2 linked regions of the Drosophila melanogaster genome follow. The protein of the gene in region 2 interacts with the protein of the main gene of each other region in a pairwise test. Each region holds a gene or a part of one and is shown on either strand. Other genes may lie near its edges. The genes, in order: dac and danr.

Region 1 (3,600 bases), on a different chromosome or scaffold from region 2:
TACGATGTCAAGGCGCTTTAGTTTGGTATAAACCGTATGCAGACCGCCGACCAAGTGCTTCAGGAAGAGCTCGAAGGCCTGCGGCAGGCAGAGCATCGTTTCGTTGCTAATTATGAATGCGGCGACCTTCTGACCCCGGTACTCCACCAGCTTGCACTCATTGGCACTGGGATCCGAGGTGGAGATCGGCGGCGGTGAGTTGTACGACCTTGGCGGCACATGGTGATGGGCGGCGGCCATCAGTTCCAAGGGGGAGGCATGGTGCATCATCTGCAGGGAGTTGAGGAGCCCCAGCGAATGGGGCGGCAGTCCATGGGGCATTCTGGGCGGTAGGCCCGTCGGCAGTCCGTTGCCCGATGGCATTCCATGTGGCGGGGGGCTGAGCTGATGGTGTTGCTGCTGCTGCTGTTGCTGCTGCTGTTGTTGCTGCTGTTGCTGCATCTGCTGCATCATGGAGTGGTTGAGGGAGCTCACCGGACTGACGGCACTGGGATGGCGACTTGGTGAACTGGCCGGTGAGCAACTGGATCCTCGTCCTGTGTGCGAGCTCCGTCCATTTGGACGATCCTCGTTGGCTCCACGCGAACTGTTGCTACCGTCGCGTCCATTGTGCTGCTGCTGTTGCTGCTGGGCTGCTGCGGCTGCCGCTGCTGCGGCTGCCTGCTGCTGCTGCTGGTGATGCATCAACATGGCGGTGGTGTTCATATTGCCCGCGGCTCTTTCAATACCACTATTAATATTGTTATTTATTGCGCCCGCTTTATTGTTGTTATTTTCACTCTGTTCACTTGTCACAGAATCCATACTTCATCATGGCCGACACTTTTGTTTATTTACTTTTTAATCGATTCGTTAATTTGACGTTTTTTCTATCGTGACAAAAATTTGACACAAAGTAAGGGAGAAATAGAAAATAGATGGTGAGAGGAAGATAAATAATTAATGAACTCTTAATTCATTTTTAATTATTTATTAGGCTTCTATATGCAAATTCTAAGTGAGCGTGTCTCGTATATTCCTATCCGCTTATTATTGGCTTTACATTTTTAATACTTCTGTAAGTTTTATAACATCAAATTTAAATGCAGACCTTCAAAAAATTTACAAACGATTTAGGATTTGTATTAGGCTCAGCTATGCTCCTATTTATTAAAATCTATTTTTGAGCCAGTTTAGTTAGTTATATGGTAGCTACAAGTTTATATTGCTAAATATTTTTTGTAAATTAATATCCTAACAAACATTTTACTTACAAAGAAATATAGAGAACTAACAGAAAATAGAAAAGTTTCCTTTCAGACATTTAAAGTCCGATTATCTTCTAATACCCCCCATAAATAATCCTTTATCAACAGAACTATTGCTTTGCAAACTTTGCTTTAATTAAGTTTTGGGAAAAACAAGGCAATGAAGCTAATTTGGATCCTTACTGCCAATTTGCATAAATATACCTATTGTCAGCTTTATTTGAATAATTCGATATAGAACATAGATTTACCTTTAAGGAGGTCTAAAAGTAATTTATAAACTCAACATCACTGACACAAGACACTCGCGCACTTTGCTTTTTGAATTTCGCTGTGAAATATATACTCTGAATATTTCAAGTTATTTATTCCGATTGCCCGCTTGTGTTAATCGAGTTCGAATAACCGTTTTCGTACTGGAATTTTGGAAACCGGAGCTGTGTCCGTTTTCGAGTACCGTACCGACGGATTGTCACTCAGAGATTGAGAGATGGCAGCTACTCCGCTGCGACGGCGACGGTGGCGTCGCTGCCTCTGCTTCTTCGCCTTCGACTGGTTCCTCTTCCCCCTCTCGTTCGGAGAAATCAACGAAACGAATTGCATTCGAATGGGAATCGACTGAGAGCGAGACGGCGCGAGGCGACGACTGCGAGTGAGCGAGTGAGCGGGCGCTAACGAGTGCTATTTTTTTAGCCCACCCACACACACGTACGTACGTACGTACACACGAAGCGCTACCGTTATGTACTGAGAGAAATGCGCGCGCAAAAGTTTTATTGCATTACCTTCTCTTGCGAATGACAAATTCGTAATGAAAGGCGAGTTTCAATTCGATTCCTTTCGGATTTTCGTGGCAGCGACGCCGGCAGCGCGGTCGGCCGAGACGAGTGTGCTTGTATGTGTGTGTCTGTGCCTGTGAGAGCGAGCTGGTGTATCTGTATCTGCGATTGTGCAAAACCAGAATACGAATACGAGTACGAATACGAATGTCTGTTGCCCGTCCACGTCTCGCATTACACCAATACCAGGCCAAAAAGGGGAGTGGTATGTGCGATTGATCGGTGTGTTTGCATCTGTGTATATTTCTGTGTGCAACCCCGAAAATACAATGACAAACGTAATCGCTCTCTCTCTCTTGCATTCGTTTTATTTATTTTTTCAATTCGTTTGTGCGTGTTGTGTTCTTCAAATCCTCCCGCTCTCTCTCTTTGGAAAAAAAAACGTTTTTCATTTCAATTTCATTTCGTTTCAGTCTGAGCCCTCTCTCTCACACCATCTCGCCATCTCTGTCGCACGCTCAGGTGGGCTGCAACCAATAAACACGAGCGAGCGAGAAAGCAGCATATTTGCATAGCCAGTCGTACATGTTTGCGCTCTCGCTCGCCCCCATGGGCGACGCCTTATATAAACAAATGACAATTGTTTTGGCATTTTGTGTTGCAAAGTAAATTATAATAAATGCATTGCCAGAGAAGAAAAGTAAAAAAAAATAGCTTTACTTCGAGTTTGCGCAGCTGTCTTTGACAAAAAGCATTTTAATTTCAATTAAAAGTAAATGACAAACTTTCAACGAATTATACTTTTCGGGGCAGTGTTGCTATCTCTTTCCGTCCCAAGCTTTGATTTTTTTTGTCAACCGTTTTCCGTTTCCCATTCGTTTCCATTCGAGTCCCGTTTATTTGTATTTCTTTTTGTGTTGCTGATTCGGAGGAGAGCAGCACTATGGCAGGGCATCTTTCTTCCACTTACACATATTGCGATAATGGGGTTTTTTTTCGCCTGAGGGGCGTTCGTTTTTCGGGTTCTTATAAATAGCATTGCTTATAAATTCTGGCATCGCACCTTTGCCACCTCTATATGTTTATGTACAATGTATCTGAGAGCTCGGTCATTTTTCTATTATTTGTCTTCGTTTCGCCTTCTGCGATTCTTCTCCATAACGATTGCCATTCCGTCGCCGAACCAATCGCATTCCGTTCTCTCCATTTGAGAGTTCCATGTACATATTTCTTTCTATATGGGAATGGAATACGTCTTTATGTATTGTGTTTGCACATGACGTATGAATTTTTCTTGTTCGTTTCGTTTGGGGCTTTTCTTTTGTGGATTTCCTCACCCACTGTCTTTTAGGTGACAGCAACCATTTAATATTAAATTGATTGCAAATGTGGATTTCCAACAGCTTTTAGAAAATATTTTCGGGCTTTAAAGAAGAATTTAAAACACAATAATTATTGTAATGTAAATATTTTATTTTTACATCGGTTTGTTTCATTAAAAAATAGTTATAAGATTATATTAGATATGAAAATTAATATGTAACGCTACTTTTTTTCTAAACTGTGACATTTTA
Region 2 (12,514 bases):
GTATGCTGAGCTATTAATACCTGTTGCAGTGATATTAATACGTTAATTGATAAGTACAAATGGCATTTGCATTGCGAAATGATTCGAGTTTCATTAATACTAAAGGTGGCTAATAACAATAAAAATGGATGTATTTACACTATGAACTACAACTACAACTATGCTATAATGTAGGGTGTCTACTGTTCGGCGTCGCTGGACCCGACGCTCTTGTCGGGAGTGTGGGATCTGCTGGACGCCTTGGAGGCGCAGGAGCGCACGGACAGATCCTCCGGCTCGCTGTCGCAGTAGCTTTCGTTGGAGGCCTCACTGTGCGCCAGTGGACTCAGTCGCTTTAGTAGCGCCTCGTTGAAAGGATATGTTTCGAGATCCGGCTCCGATCCGCCGCTGGCCATTTGGTTGGGATTGTAGCTGGGTCCACCTGGTCCTCCGCCGCCGGGCTGCATGGAGGCTGCGGCCGCAGCGAAGGCCAGGAAGTTCAAACTGGCATTGAAGAGCTTGCACCAGTCGAGCAGAGCCGCTCCCTGGTTATCGGTTCCAGTGGGCGGGGCGTTTGCCGGAGTCACTGGTGCTATCACAGGCGCTAGATCCGCAGGATTCGGGAAGGGTGCTGGCAGTAGGGGCATTGTGGTGTCCGAGAACATGGGAGTCTTCGCCTGCTCCGTGACAAGAGCTTGTGGTGCGGAACTGTTGGCCTCCAGGGCATTGTTGTTCTTATCGTTCACTTGCTCCGGCTGATTGGCGGAGTTCACCCGCTTGGCCGGATCCTTGGCCCAGTTCTTAACACTCAGCAAGGGGTAATTGTTTTTGCTGTAATCCTCGGAAGCAGCGGGCGAATCAATCACTTTGTTGTCCTCTGATTTCGGCTGTGCATCTACCAGGACATCGGCAGTCTGTGGGGTGAGTTTGGAGTTGAGCAGGGCCAGAAGATTCAGCTGGTGCAGCATGTTGTTGGAGTAGTCCATCACGCCGGCCTGACCCGGATGCAGTGCACCCTCCGGATGCAATCCACCGTTCTTTTTTACAAATTCCACAAGGCTAAGCTTCTCCAGCAGGGATTCATTTTGCACTGGGTAATCGGCTGGACTGTAGGGCAGTGCACCGAAGCCCAGCTCCTCGTAGTTTGGAGGCAGTGCCACGAACTTCGGTGGCAGCTGGAGCTGCAGCTCGAACTTGGCGCGCTTTTCCGGTGGCGTGTCGAGACCCAGGTGATCGGGGCCCAGCTGGCGGCACATGAAGCGCAGCTTCTGCTCGTTCTTGCACCAGCCACGCAGCGTGGACTCCGGCACTCCGATGTCCCGCGACACACTCGCCTTGGTTTCACCATTGTGGATGCGCTGGATGGCACGCACCTTGTCGTTGGGCGTGAGGTTCCTCAGAGGACGCTTGCCGCGCGTGCTCATCCGGATGTTCATGTGCTGGTAGGCGGAGATATCCATGGTTCTATTTCTGGTTGCGCTGGCGATAGCGATTGCGATTACGATAGCGGTTTCGAAGCGCGGACTTTGCGGATGCGACCACCGGTGTGCACTCCTCGAACTCGCAGAAGGATGTGATTGTGAATCCGATTCCGCGAAAGGCGAGCTGCGAACTGCGAACGGCGACAGGCGAACGGCGACCGCCGAGATGATCCGATGATTTTGCGGCGAAGAGAACGGCATGACGTTTTTCTCGCTTTTTCTCGACCAATCGGAGCAAAGCGCCACTCTCACCTTTCTCTCTCTCTCTCTCTCGCGCGCGCACCCACCACCCACCAGTGCAACAACTTGTTACTCATGTCCTGCTCACGAAATTCGCTCTGTTCGGCTCTCTTAACGGGTTTGATGTCCTGACCATCATTCGCGTCCCTCTTCGCGGGCTGCGTATGTGTGTGGTGGTGTTGTGGATCTAGATATTCAGCATGCAGGATGCACATTTCCAAATCGGCTCCTCCACGTGGCTGCGTGTGTGTGTGTGTATGTGCCCGTGTGTTTATATAAAAACCAGTTATTTACCTCCCATAAACATTCCCTCCTGCGAAAGTGTGTGTGCGTGTATTTGGCCAACCTTCTCGCATTCGCATGTGCGTGAGCGGATCTGATACGGACGTGGACCTGGTTGCACTTTTGGGTTGCGAATCTACCGAGAATAACACAATTCCACTCTATATTATTTGCACTCTCCATCTGTGTGTTTGCACTAATTTCCATGAGTACTCTTTGTCCGTTATTTGTGGTAAATATTTTCATTGCACCCTTATCTTATGAAGATAATAGAAAATATATAGACTAAAAGGTGATCAGGCTAAACTTATTAACACAAGTTTTGAATTCACTGCGTTTTTTTAAATATTTTTATTTATATGTATAAGTGCTCACGAAGTACAATAATATAAAAGAATAGCACATACCTTATATGGAGAACTTGCATAGTTCTTTGCTGATGATTATTCGCACACAAAATTGTTTTAACCTTCATAAAACGATGTAATTCATATAAATATATTATTTATGGATCACTTCTAATTTTTTGATTGCGACTGTATACTAAAAACGTACGTAATGTACATAACACCTTTGTTGGAACACCTTTCTAATTGTAATTCTTTGATTCTACCCCTAATCCAAAGAACTATGTATATGCTGTCAAACACTGTTATTGTTATTAAAATGGATTATAATGTCTCAATGAATCTCGTCGTTTAATTATTGTTTAAACTATTAATGCGTCTGCGCCGTCCACTAAAGAAAAAATAACAAAAGCTTTCAATCTCGAGAAAACTATCAGCATTCTAGAAGAAGAACTGCTTTAAAAGCTTTCAGCCTGGTAAATATACCAAATCATATTATAAATTGCGAAAATTGGCTAAGTACACTTTAAAATAATCATTTTAGAAATGCTAATCCGTTCAATATTCTCCTTAAATAATATCACACATCCCTTTTTTAATACTTTTTTATTGTGTTATTAAAAGACACAGTTTAGAAAGTAAGTAGCCTTTAGTATTTATGTTTGATTTACACATATTTAAATAAATTTTCTATTAACTATAATTTATTAGATTACATCTACTTGTATTGATTAATTTCCGTTTTGCTGTATGTTATAACTATATCATTATTTATTATTAAACAATTTTCATTCAAGTTTATTTGTCACAAAACTGTATTTTAAAATGAATGGATTGTTTTAAATTAAATATGAAACCTACACAATAAATAAACGATTGCAAGCGTACTCAAATCGTAATTATCGATTAAAATTAACAATTTGTTGACATACCGCATTGAGATACTCTTTCTGATACATAAAGTCAAAATAAGTGCACATTTAATGGAAAAATCAAATTGCATTAGATTTATAAGTATTTGCAGTATAAGTATGAGGAAACGGTATTTATTTTAAGTCTCAATTTATACATACATACAAATTTAAATATATACATAACCTATGTTGGCAGTTAGCCCTTACATTTTGTACATACACTTTATTGTTATTATATACATAATTTGTTTCAGTCGAAGGCTTATTAAACTAATTCTGAACGCATACGTCAAATGCACATACCCATATAAGTATATATCTTAATATATACTGCATGCCTTATCTTAACTTTAAACTAAAAAGAGATAACTATTCGGGGGCATCAATGGGAATAAATGCAATCAATTTAATAATAAATAAATAATATTAACTCTTTGGCGGCAAATAAAATATCTGATGGGTGCGTGGATATAATGGAATCTTCGTTTGCCAGTGCCTTCAGCGATATATTCTGTAACTTAGTGTAAGTCTTAAGTAACTTATTGTACCATTCATTAAAATTCGAATAATGATCACCGACATTTTGTAAAATTAGAAAACAATTAAAGTTAATGGAATACGCTATGAAGGTGACTGTGAGTGTGAAGATTCCGTTTGCTAAAAATTTACTTGTGAGTATATTTATGGAAATCGATCAACAATTCGTGAATATATGCGCGAACTTTATTCAACACCCCTTAACTTAAATTTACTTTATCGTTAGTAACAAATGTTAATAGCTTATAGATAATGATCCCATTTGCCCAATGCAACGACCTCCCTCTTCATCGAAGGTGGCCAAAGTTAATCGAGACAGCTTATTGCATAAGACTCCATTTCCATTATTTTGAATAGGATTTGGCTCTGAAAAGGGTTAGTAATCAGAATTGGATTTGATTATGACATATAGAGCTGATAGTATGTGGCTTACCATCGTGAAAAGGTTCTTGAGTGTTACCCTCCTGTTTTTTGTTTCTGATTTGATCTGTAAAGTGTGATATAAGTGCGTCTATCATGGCAGCTTGCTTTGAAAATATTTGCATCAGTTTGGACACTTGTATTCCGTTCTCGACGGCATCGAACTGCAAAGTAAATGATTCTAAGATCTTGTTTTTATAACAGCGAAAACACAGCGAAGTACCTGCAGGAAGATACAAGTGAGGCATTCGGGATCATCACTTGCACTTGGCTTTGCGTAATCCCACGACAAATCCTCGTATCGCAATCCCAGCAAGAGGGTCTGCATCAAAAGTGGTGAGTCATTAAACAGTGCGGATTAAAACTATACGTTATTTTAATATAAAATAACTTACACATTCGTACGGATCTATTACGAAAACCCCTCTCTCATTGACAGCGACCAAAACCTCCATGTCCTTTTGGTTGACCAGTGCCATAATTCCCCTAACAGGTTGTTCTATTTGGCCATGAAAATATGCGGCGCTGTGAGCATGAAATAAAAAAATTAATTATTAAATATATATTGTAAGATATATATCAGAAGCCTACCCATAGAATGGCAGAGCCCAGCAGAATTCCAGGTATTTCCTCATCAACTTTCGTGTGGTGGCCGTCTGGGGCACTCGCTTGAATTGCTCCAGAAGCTTCACTTCCGCAGAATTCTTCTGACTGATCGGTAGCCACAGCCAAGTGGAGCTCTTGGCCACGTGAGGAGGCAAAAATCTAGCTTGGTTCTCCCTAAATGATCAAATTAGCAGACAAAGTTAGAACTTGGCGTGTTTTATTAGTTTAGTATTAGACTTGCCGAAAGAATCCTATTGTATGGGTGTGGGAGTTGTAAGGACCCAGTTCGATGCGCGCTTGAATGCCACCCAACATTAGCGAATGCACCGGCTCCATGATATATCTGCCTGTCAGCACATTGTTTCTGGCCTCTTCATAGAGGAGCTCCAAGATCCGATGATCCCTGAAAATGATATCATAATATCAAGTTTGAAATGGGTTAATCTAAAGTTATTGATCGGTATTACTTTATTTTCTCCTCATCTCGCTTCGAGAAGAAGACATTCCGCTTCAAAACTATCATGGGCTCATCGAACTTTCGATCACTGGGACTGCTGTTGCTGAACTTCTGGAGGAGATTGGGCCACGCAACTCGCACTATGTAGGGGCAGTGGTGGGCCTTCAGCTGCATCTCCAGTAAAGCACTTGTCATCCACAATCCGAACACGCTCTGTGCCAGCAACTTATTGGATATGCCCAGCTCCTCGCATCCCAAGGCGGCTGCCAACATCACTTGCGATGGACACTGGGCAGTGCCCTCGATCTCCATGTGCACCGCCACCCGGGACATAAGATACACGCATGTGGGGATCACCTATGAAGTAAAGAATCGCATTCAAGTGGCTGAAAATGAATGGAATGTATCTTACATTTTGGAGAGCACGGGTTAAATTGGAAGCAGCTTTGCCGGCAGTCGCGAAGTTCGAAGTTGAGCTGGTCGCCATCAGGCGTTTTTGGATTGCGGGATTGGATTGGGCATCATTCCCATTGTTGCACTTGTGATGTTGTGGCATGTATGAGGAATTGGTGAGCACTCCTAAAAATGTTATAGATAAACAAATAGCATAACACTAAACATTGCAATTTAGTTTCTCTTACCGGATGGGCTCCTCAGGTCGGAAAGGGGACAAAGTGCACTTGCATTGCTCATCATGTTGGCGCCCATGTCGGGTAATCCACCCAGACAGGAAGCATTTCCAGAGGCGGCCATGGCGGAGGACACCTGTGCCGGCGACAGGCAGTCACCATCATTCTGGCCAGTGCTGACCACACTGGACACACTAGCCGACGAGGCGAAGGTGCTGCCCGCTGCCGTTTGGATCTGAGCTGTGGTCACCACACGATGCACGGTATACATGATTGGGGGAACGGGCATATTCACCGAGCCCAGGGACACGGGTACCTGCTGGTCGCACGTGACCACACCGGATGGGTTCTGATGGGTTTGAGTGGCTGCCACGCGTCCACTTCCGTTGCTGCTGCCGCCGGCGCTCGGGAAGATCGCACAGTTGTCGAAGGCATCTGGTGGATCGGCCACCGTGCCCTGTAATTGGGGCAACTGATGGATTGGTTCTGGGTGGCTCAATTGGTGGTTGTGTTGTAGCGATTGTTGGATGTGGAGAAAGTTTGCCTGTTGCTGCTGCTGCTGGTGCAGATGTTGCTGATGTTGCTGGTGCTGTTGGTGTTGCTGGTGTTGCTGATGCTGCTGCTGATGCTGCGGATGTTGGTGCTGATGCGGCTGCTGATGCGGTTGATGAGCTTGGTGCTGCGGTATTGCTGCTGCGGCATTGTTGGCTATATAGTAATCATCGCGACACTTCACATCCGTAGTGTTGTAATATAAATGCGATCTGAAAAGTAATTACGAATATTATAATGCATAAATTCGTTGAACTTGGTATAGCAAACGCACTCGTAGTCTTGTGTAGATAGCTTTTTTCGATTATACTGCAGTGTTCCCAGTGGAACAGTCATTATGTTGATATAGTTCCCAGCGTTGGCAGTATTCTTGCTGCATTGGCCACTGTTGCTGCACACAGATCCTCCGTACGGACTCCCCATGTTGCCATTCCCGCCGAGCGTTTTGCTGTTCCCACTGCGCGGAACCAAGTCCTTGGAGCTGTAGCCCGATTGCGATTGGCCGGAGCTACATGTCACATAATCCTGGCCAGCGTTCATCCCATAGTTGAGTTTGTTCGACGCATGTTGGGGAATGGAAGTCGAGGGATTCTGCTGCATGGCGCTCCGGCAGTAATAATGATTTGGCTCCATGTTCTTAAAATTCAAGTAATATTAATAGGATAAAATATATTTTATTAAGGAATCGTTCACATATTCATTTAATGCCAGTTAAGTGAACCTTACTGCTGTTTTAGTAGATCTGCTGCTAACAAATATGATTAGTTACTGTCGACGCCTTTTCGGGGTTCGCTTGAGCAATCAGGATAGCCCTCATTTTATCTGGCAGTTGCAAATATTCCACAAAAGTCCATTATAAGCAATTTATTAGCTATCAGTTGGCATTTCTGAAATGTAAATTCATACTCTTTCATGTATGTTTATTTAAATTTTAGAAATAAATGAGATAAAATATATTTTAGATGGGGGATAGTAATTTCATCGTTTATAATGTTTGGGATTTTGTATAAAAACGGTCATTTAATTCATTTACTTCCATCGCACAAACTTTCTGTATGCCTTGATATTCTGTTTTAAAATAACAAAATGGTCCTCAGTTCTGATATTTGATTTTTCGAGCAGGTGCAATAGAGGGTATGCTGTATACACACATGCTCGTACATACCTACACGAAGGTCTATATGTGCGAATGCGAATGCGAATATGGGCACTTTTTTTGTACGTCATGCTAATTCGAGTGCTTGCAAGTATGTCAGCGGGGGCATAACTTTTAACTTTATAATTGGAGGCACGTAAACACTGTATGTTAATTCAGTTCAGCTCACACGGCTGAGAAAAAAGTGCTGTGTCCTTAATCAATACATGCCTTCATATGTATGCATACACACACACACTCACATACACTAACACACACTTACAGACACACACGCACATATCCTTCTAACTGGGTGGGACTTTGAAGGCCATAGTTTTTCACCGAACCATAGCCTCAGCACTTTAATTTTATTCCTTTTGCAATGGTTTCCTTTCGTTGGGAAGCACTCCGTCTTTGCCTAAATGTATCTACATATCGGTGAAATCCTCCACGGCACGCAAACGGTTGGGTTGGAAAAAATGTTTTACACGGATTTCGCACGAAAGATACATTTTCCGCTGTATTGTCTTTGGTTGCGAGAAGCTATGTGATTTGCTGCCTTCGGGCTTGTTTGCTTTTTCATCGGGCTCCGGAGGAATTCATTGTTTTAAACAGGCTAGTGTAGATTTTTACTGTGGCAATTCACGACGAATCGAATGATGACGAGAAGTTCCCGAACTTTTTAGTACACAAAATGCCAAAACAGGCGACTTAGCACCAAAATATCTACTTATACAACACCACTTTCGAACACAGCCAACCGAAGTAAACAAACACATGCAAACTCGGGCCCCATATGAGGCGCATGCGCCCCAAAATCCCAGCTTAAAGTTCGCCCAGCAACAAGACTATCGATAAGAGCCAGTTTCAACCGTTAACAAAATCAATATATACATATATATATATATCTCTTTGATAAGGAATCAACATATATATTCAGTTCCGTAAACATTCTCTTTTATTGTATCAACTGGCATTACTTTTTTAAAGCATTTTTAACACTTCCTTAAGTTATGGCTCAACACATTTTGCATACATTTGATTTAGTTATTTGTGATACTTCTGAAGTTGCGGGGCCGATAGCTTGACCTTTCCTGGTATATTCCTGGCCAACGACTCTTCCTTTATACTTTTCAGTAAGTCCTTCTCACGAGCACTGCAGCTCTTCTCCTTTGCGAAGATATTAAGTGCTAGTTTCGCCGCCTTTCCTCTTTTTCCCGTACCTGGGGTGAGCTTTACTTTAAACCTAAAAAGGATATCACATTTACAATAAACATTTTATGCGAACTTTCAGTATAGCCTACTTGTAGTTTTGCAAAGCCTGATAGGGAGCAACGACTGGAATCGCGAACAGCAGCTCATCTCCTTCGTGCGGCTGTCCAGTCAGACTGTTGAGTACATCCACATCCCCACCGACGGGCACTTCATCAGCATCGTCCAGTTCCACTGGGTTTTTGGGAGCTGCACTTTTTTCTGGCTTCACGTACTCCTTGGTTGACTCACTTTTCTCCACCACTTTATCGGCACTGGCCTGTGGCTTTTCCTTACCCGATGACTTGAGAATCATCATGCGAATTTCCCGCTCTTCATCATCTTGATCCTTGTATTTTTGCTTCATTTTCTTGAGCTTTCCCTTCTGACCTCTCTTAACTTGAGATGGATTTTTTGGTTCACTACTCACAGGAGGGACTTCCTGCTTGGCAGCTTCTTGTTTCGCCCGTGCCTTGTCTTCCTTGGTCTTTTTGGCACTTACTTGCTTTTTACGACTTGGACCAGCCAAAATAATGGTCGTTTCTTCATCGTCCGTCTTTTTCAAAATTTTGTCTAGGACAACTTCACTCTCTTTAGTCTCTTCAATCTCTGGATTTACGGAGTCGGATCTGACTATAATGCGACCAGTATCGTGCTCAATCTTAACTTCTGTATTGGGAAAAGCTGTAATTTCGGTATTGGAGCTTGGTTCCGATAGATTTATATTTGAATCAGCGTCTTCATTATCCGACAAAAGATCATGTTCAACTTCGTTTTCTTTAACATTTGGATCTATTTGATCATCCTCCAGGCTTCTAACTTTACGCTCTCCCAAATGGCGCTCAATGAAGCTATCCTCCAACTTGAAAAGTAAACTTAGACCCATGGTCAGGTGGCAGGAGGGAAGGAAGTTCTTCTTTCCTCTGATCATAAAGCTTCCCGTTGCCAAGTACTCTCCAGTCGGTGCAGTTTTGCTGACCTGATCGCTTGTTACCCAGTACGAGTTGGTAACCACTTTGGCATCCCAAGCAACACTGTACGAAATAGCCATGGATCCTGCCTCTAGCAACGTTTTGGGAGGTATTTCTTCTCCTGTGGGATTTTGAATAATAACACTCGAGGCGCCTTGAATCTCAGCGTGCACATAAATGTCTTTCGGACGCATATATCTGGAATAACAACATGTCATAATTATAAATACTTCGATCTATTTAAGTAATTGAAAGCAAACCTTTTAACAATAAGCTCGTTCTGCTGGGCATCTCTTCCTCCAATAACCAAATAATTTTCAGAGCTGATAAACCAGTAAAACTTTTCAAACCAGAAAACTTTCCGTGCCTTTACTATGTTCGATATAGTCCTCACTTCCTTGAGCGTCTGCTGCGTCTTGCGCTCCGCAGACTTAAGAGCTTTTTGGGAAGCATCTACAGTTTTCTTTTCTTTTTGAGCAGCCGAACGTTTCATATCGTAGTATCGACGGGCATTGGCCCAAGCAGACAGAGCCAAGTCGACATCCACAACAGTAACCTCTGGATCCTTAAGATCGTCGTCTTCATCGTTGTCATATGGATCGCTGAGCATAAGGGATATATGATTAGTCTCCAGTTTAAGCTGCTTTATGGAACTAGCTACAGCATCGCCATTTGCCTGTGCCTCCTTTACAAGCTCGTGAATATCCGGCCAGGATAATTGACTGGCAATAGCTGACTGAACAGCCCGAATTGCATTATCCACCAGACTTTGATTGGACGTTATTAGCTCTGCTTTCTTTCTGTCCACATCTTGGACTTTTGTCAATTCCTCTAGACGCTTTGCGTGGTCATTCTTGACATTAGACAGCTTTTTTAGTGCCTCACGCTCTTGCTGTAGCGTTTTCATGTCAATCTTTTGCGACTCTTGCGTAGAGTAAAATTCATCAACGGCTTCCATAAAGGACTCAAATGTGGCCTTTTCAAAGTTTTTGAATTGAATAAAGAGGTAGGGATGAAATTCGATGTTTCTAAAGAAAAACTCCACCGTTCCATTCTCTGTAGGCTTTTCCTCTTTAACTTGAATAATGTAGCCTTTACTTTTTCCACTATTTCCCTCAGCTATAAGCTCTTGAGCATCCTAAAAGATTGCACAGAACGTTTTATTTACTTTAACAGCAATAATAAATATTTCCACGATATTGTTCTTACCTTTACTGCTTGCTGAAGAATTGGCAAGTCATTAACCATGTCAAATGGTTTCTGTTCCAGTTTCGTATTCTGTTGCTTCTTACGTTGCTTTTTACCGCCCTTCTCCGGCTTGTCCTCCGCCTCCGGCGTTTCTTCCGTTGTTTCCTTTTTGATAACGTGATTGTCCAAGCCGTGTGAGAGGAGAACATGCTCTATAACTGCCGGACCACAGTCCAAGTTGGGTGTTAGAATCTGTCGCAAATAGTCGCCGTTCCTGGCATTTTCCAACAGCTTAACCAAAGCTTCCAGTTCCAGTTCCTTCGTGGGCTGTTTGGCCCGTTCCACGGGATATTTCTCGCGCATGGCGAAGCGCAGGTTCTCGCCCTCCGTATGCGGACGCAAAATATATAACGTGGTCAGCTCGTAGTCGGTGAGGATCACATTACCACGATCGTAGAGCTCCAAAATAACATGGTAGGCGGCATCACCGGTACCGAACTGAAAGTCAACAATACGATCGCTACCCATCTGTTGAACCTTTTCCAGGCGCTTGTTCTTCAAGTGCTTCCTCAACTTCATGCTGAAACCGGACGGAGCCATGTTCTTGGGCCATTCGAACCTAGTGGTATGGAATCTTGTACCAGATTCTATTAGCAGAGTGACCTTCTCCACTGCACCGGTCCCTTGCATCCGGAAGAGGTAGGTCTTGTTATCCACGTCATAGATCTGATTCACTCGCCAGCCGACCAGCCTGGAATATAAATGTAGATGTACCATTATTCCTGGGCATCGGAATTATCCGGATTTTTTACATACTTTTGCAGTTCCGCCACTCCGCAGATTATATCGAAGGTATTGAAACGTGTCTTCATGGTTCTTTATGGAAAGTTGACGATGTCAACACGGAAAGTGAAGAAAAAAGAATCTATCTGGCAACTTAACTTATCATTAAATATTCACAAGTTCGCTATCTACGTTAGATAAGTTAAATTAGTTTAATAGGGAATAATAACAATTTTATTCACTTGCGAAATTAAGTATCGGTGTAAATTGCGATGGACGAACTTTAAACAAAATATATCGATTGTATGCTGTTGATGATTCGGATTGTCAGAATGAATTCGCTGTATAATTACTATGTATTAAATATTTGTATTGTTTATGCAATGAGTAAGAAGCTTCTTTGATTTATCTAAAAAGTTATTAAGCATTTAATAAAGTTTCAGTCAGCTGTTTCCCTTTCCGTGGACTATTCCACTTCGTTCCGATAAGAAATCGATACATAGGTAGTCGGAAAATGGAACTGCTGTGTCATCGCCAATCTTCATTTGTAAATATGAATGCGGATGGACCTGTTGTCAACGTGCACGTGTTGTTCTTTGCTAAATCCCGTGAATTAGCAAACACTCCCCGGTCGACAGTGGAAGTTCCTACTGAAATTACTGCCACCGAACTGCTGGACCACCTGGTGTCCAAATTTGGCCTGACCTCCATCCGGGATAACTTGATTTTGGCCCACAACGAG

The links.
Region 1: the proteins of danr (region 2) and dac interact in a two-hybrid assay, tested with the Drosophila melanogaster proteins (one study listed by BioGRID).

What each region holds. Positions count from the first base shown.
Region 1 is NT_033779.5:16,483,939-16,487,538, forward strand, and holds the start of dac (dachshund), read right to left. Parts: upstream 2,061-3,600; 5' UTR 1,499-2,060; intron 870-1,498; 5' UTR 805-869; coding exon 1-804.
Region 2 is NT_033777.3:25,127,158-25,139,671, reverse strand, and holds the start of danr (distal antenna-related), read right to left. Parts: upstream 1,601-12,514; 5' UTR 1,440-1,600; coding exon 180-1,439; 3' UTR 1-179. Other genes in the region: Bili (Band4.1 inhibitor LRP interactor), read right to left, coding at 4,016-4,146, 4,214-4,364, 4,424-4,522, 4,596-4,725, 4,792-4,980, 5,048-5,209, 5,274-5,620, 5,676-5,842 and 2 more; Clbn (caliban), read right to left, coding at 8,627-8,825, 8,884-9,999, 10,062-10,939, 11,011-11,740, 11,806-11,861; Mocs2A (molybdenum cofactor synthesis 2A), read left to right, coding at 12,326-12,514. UniProt on the Drosophila melanogaster protein: Probable transcription factor with a role in the retinal determination (RD) network. Regulates ato expression and is required for normal R8 induction and differentiation.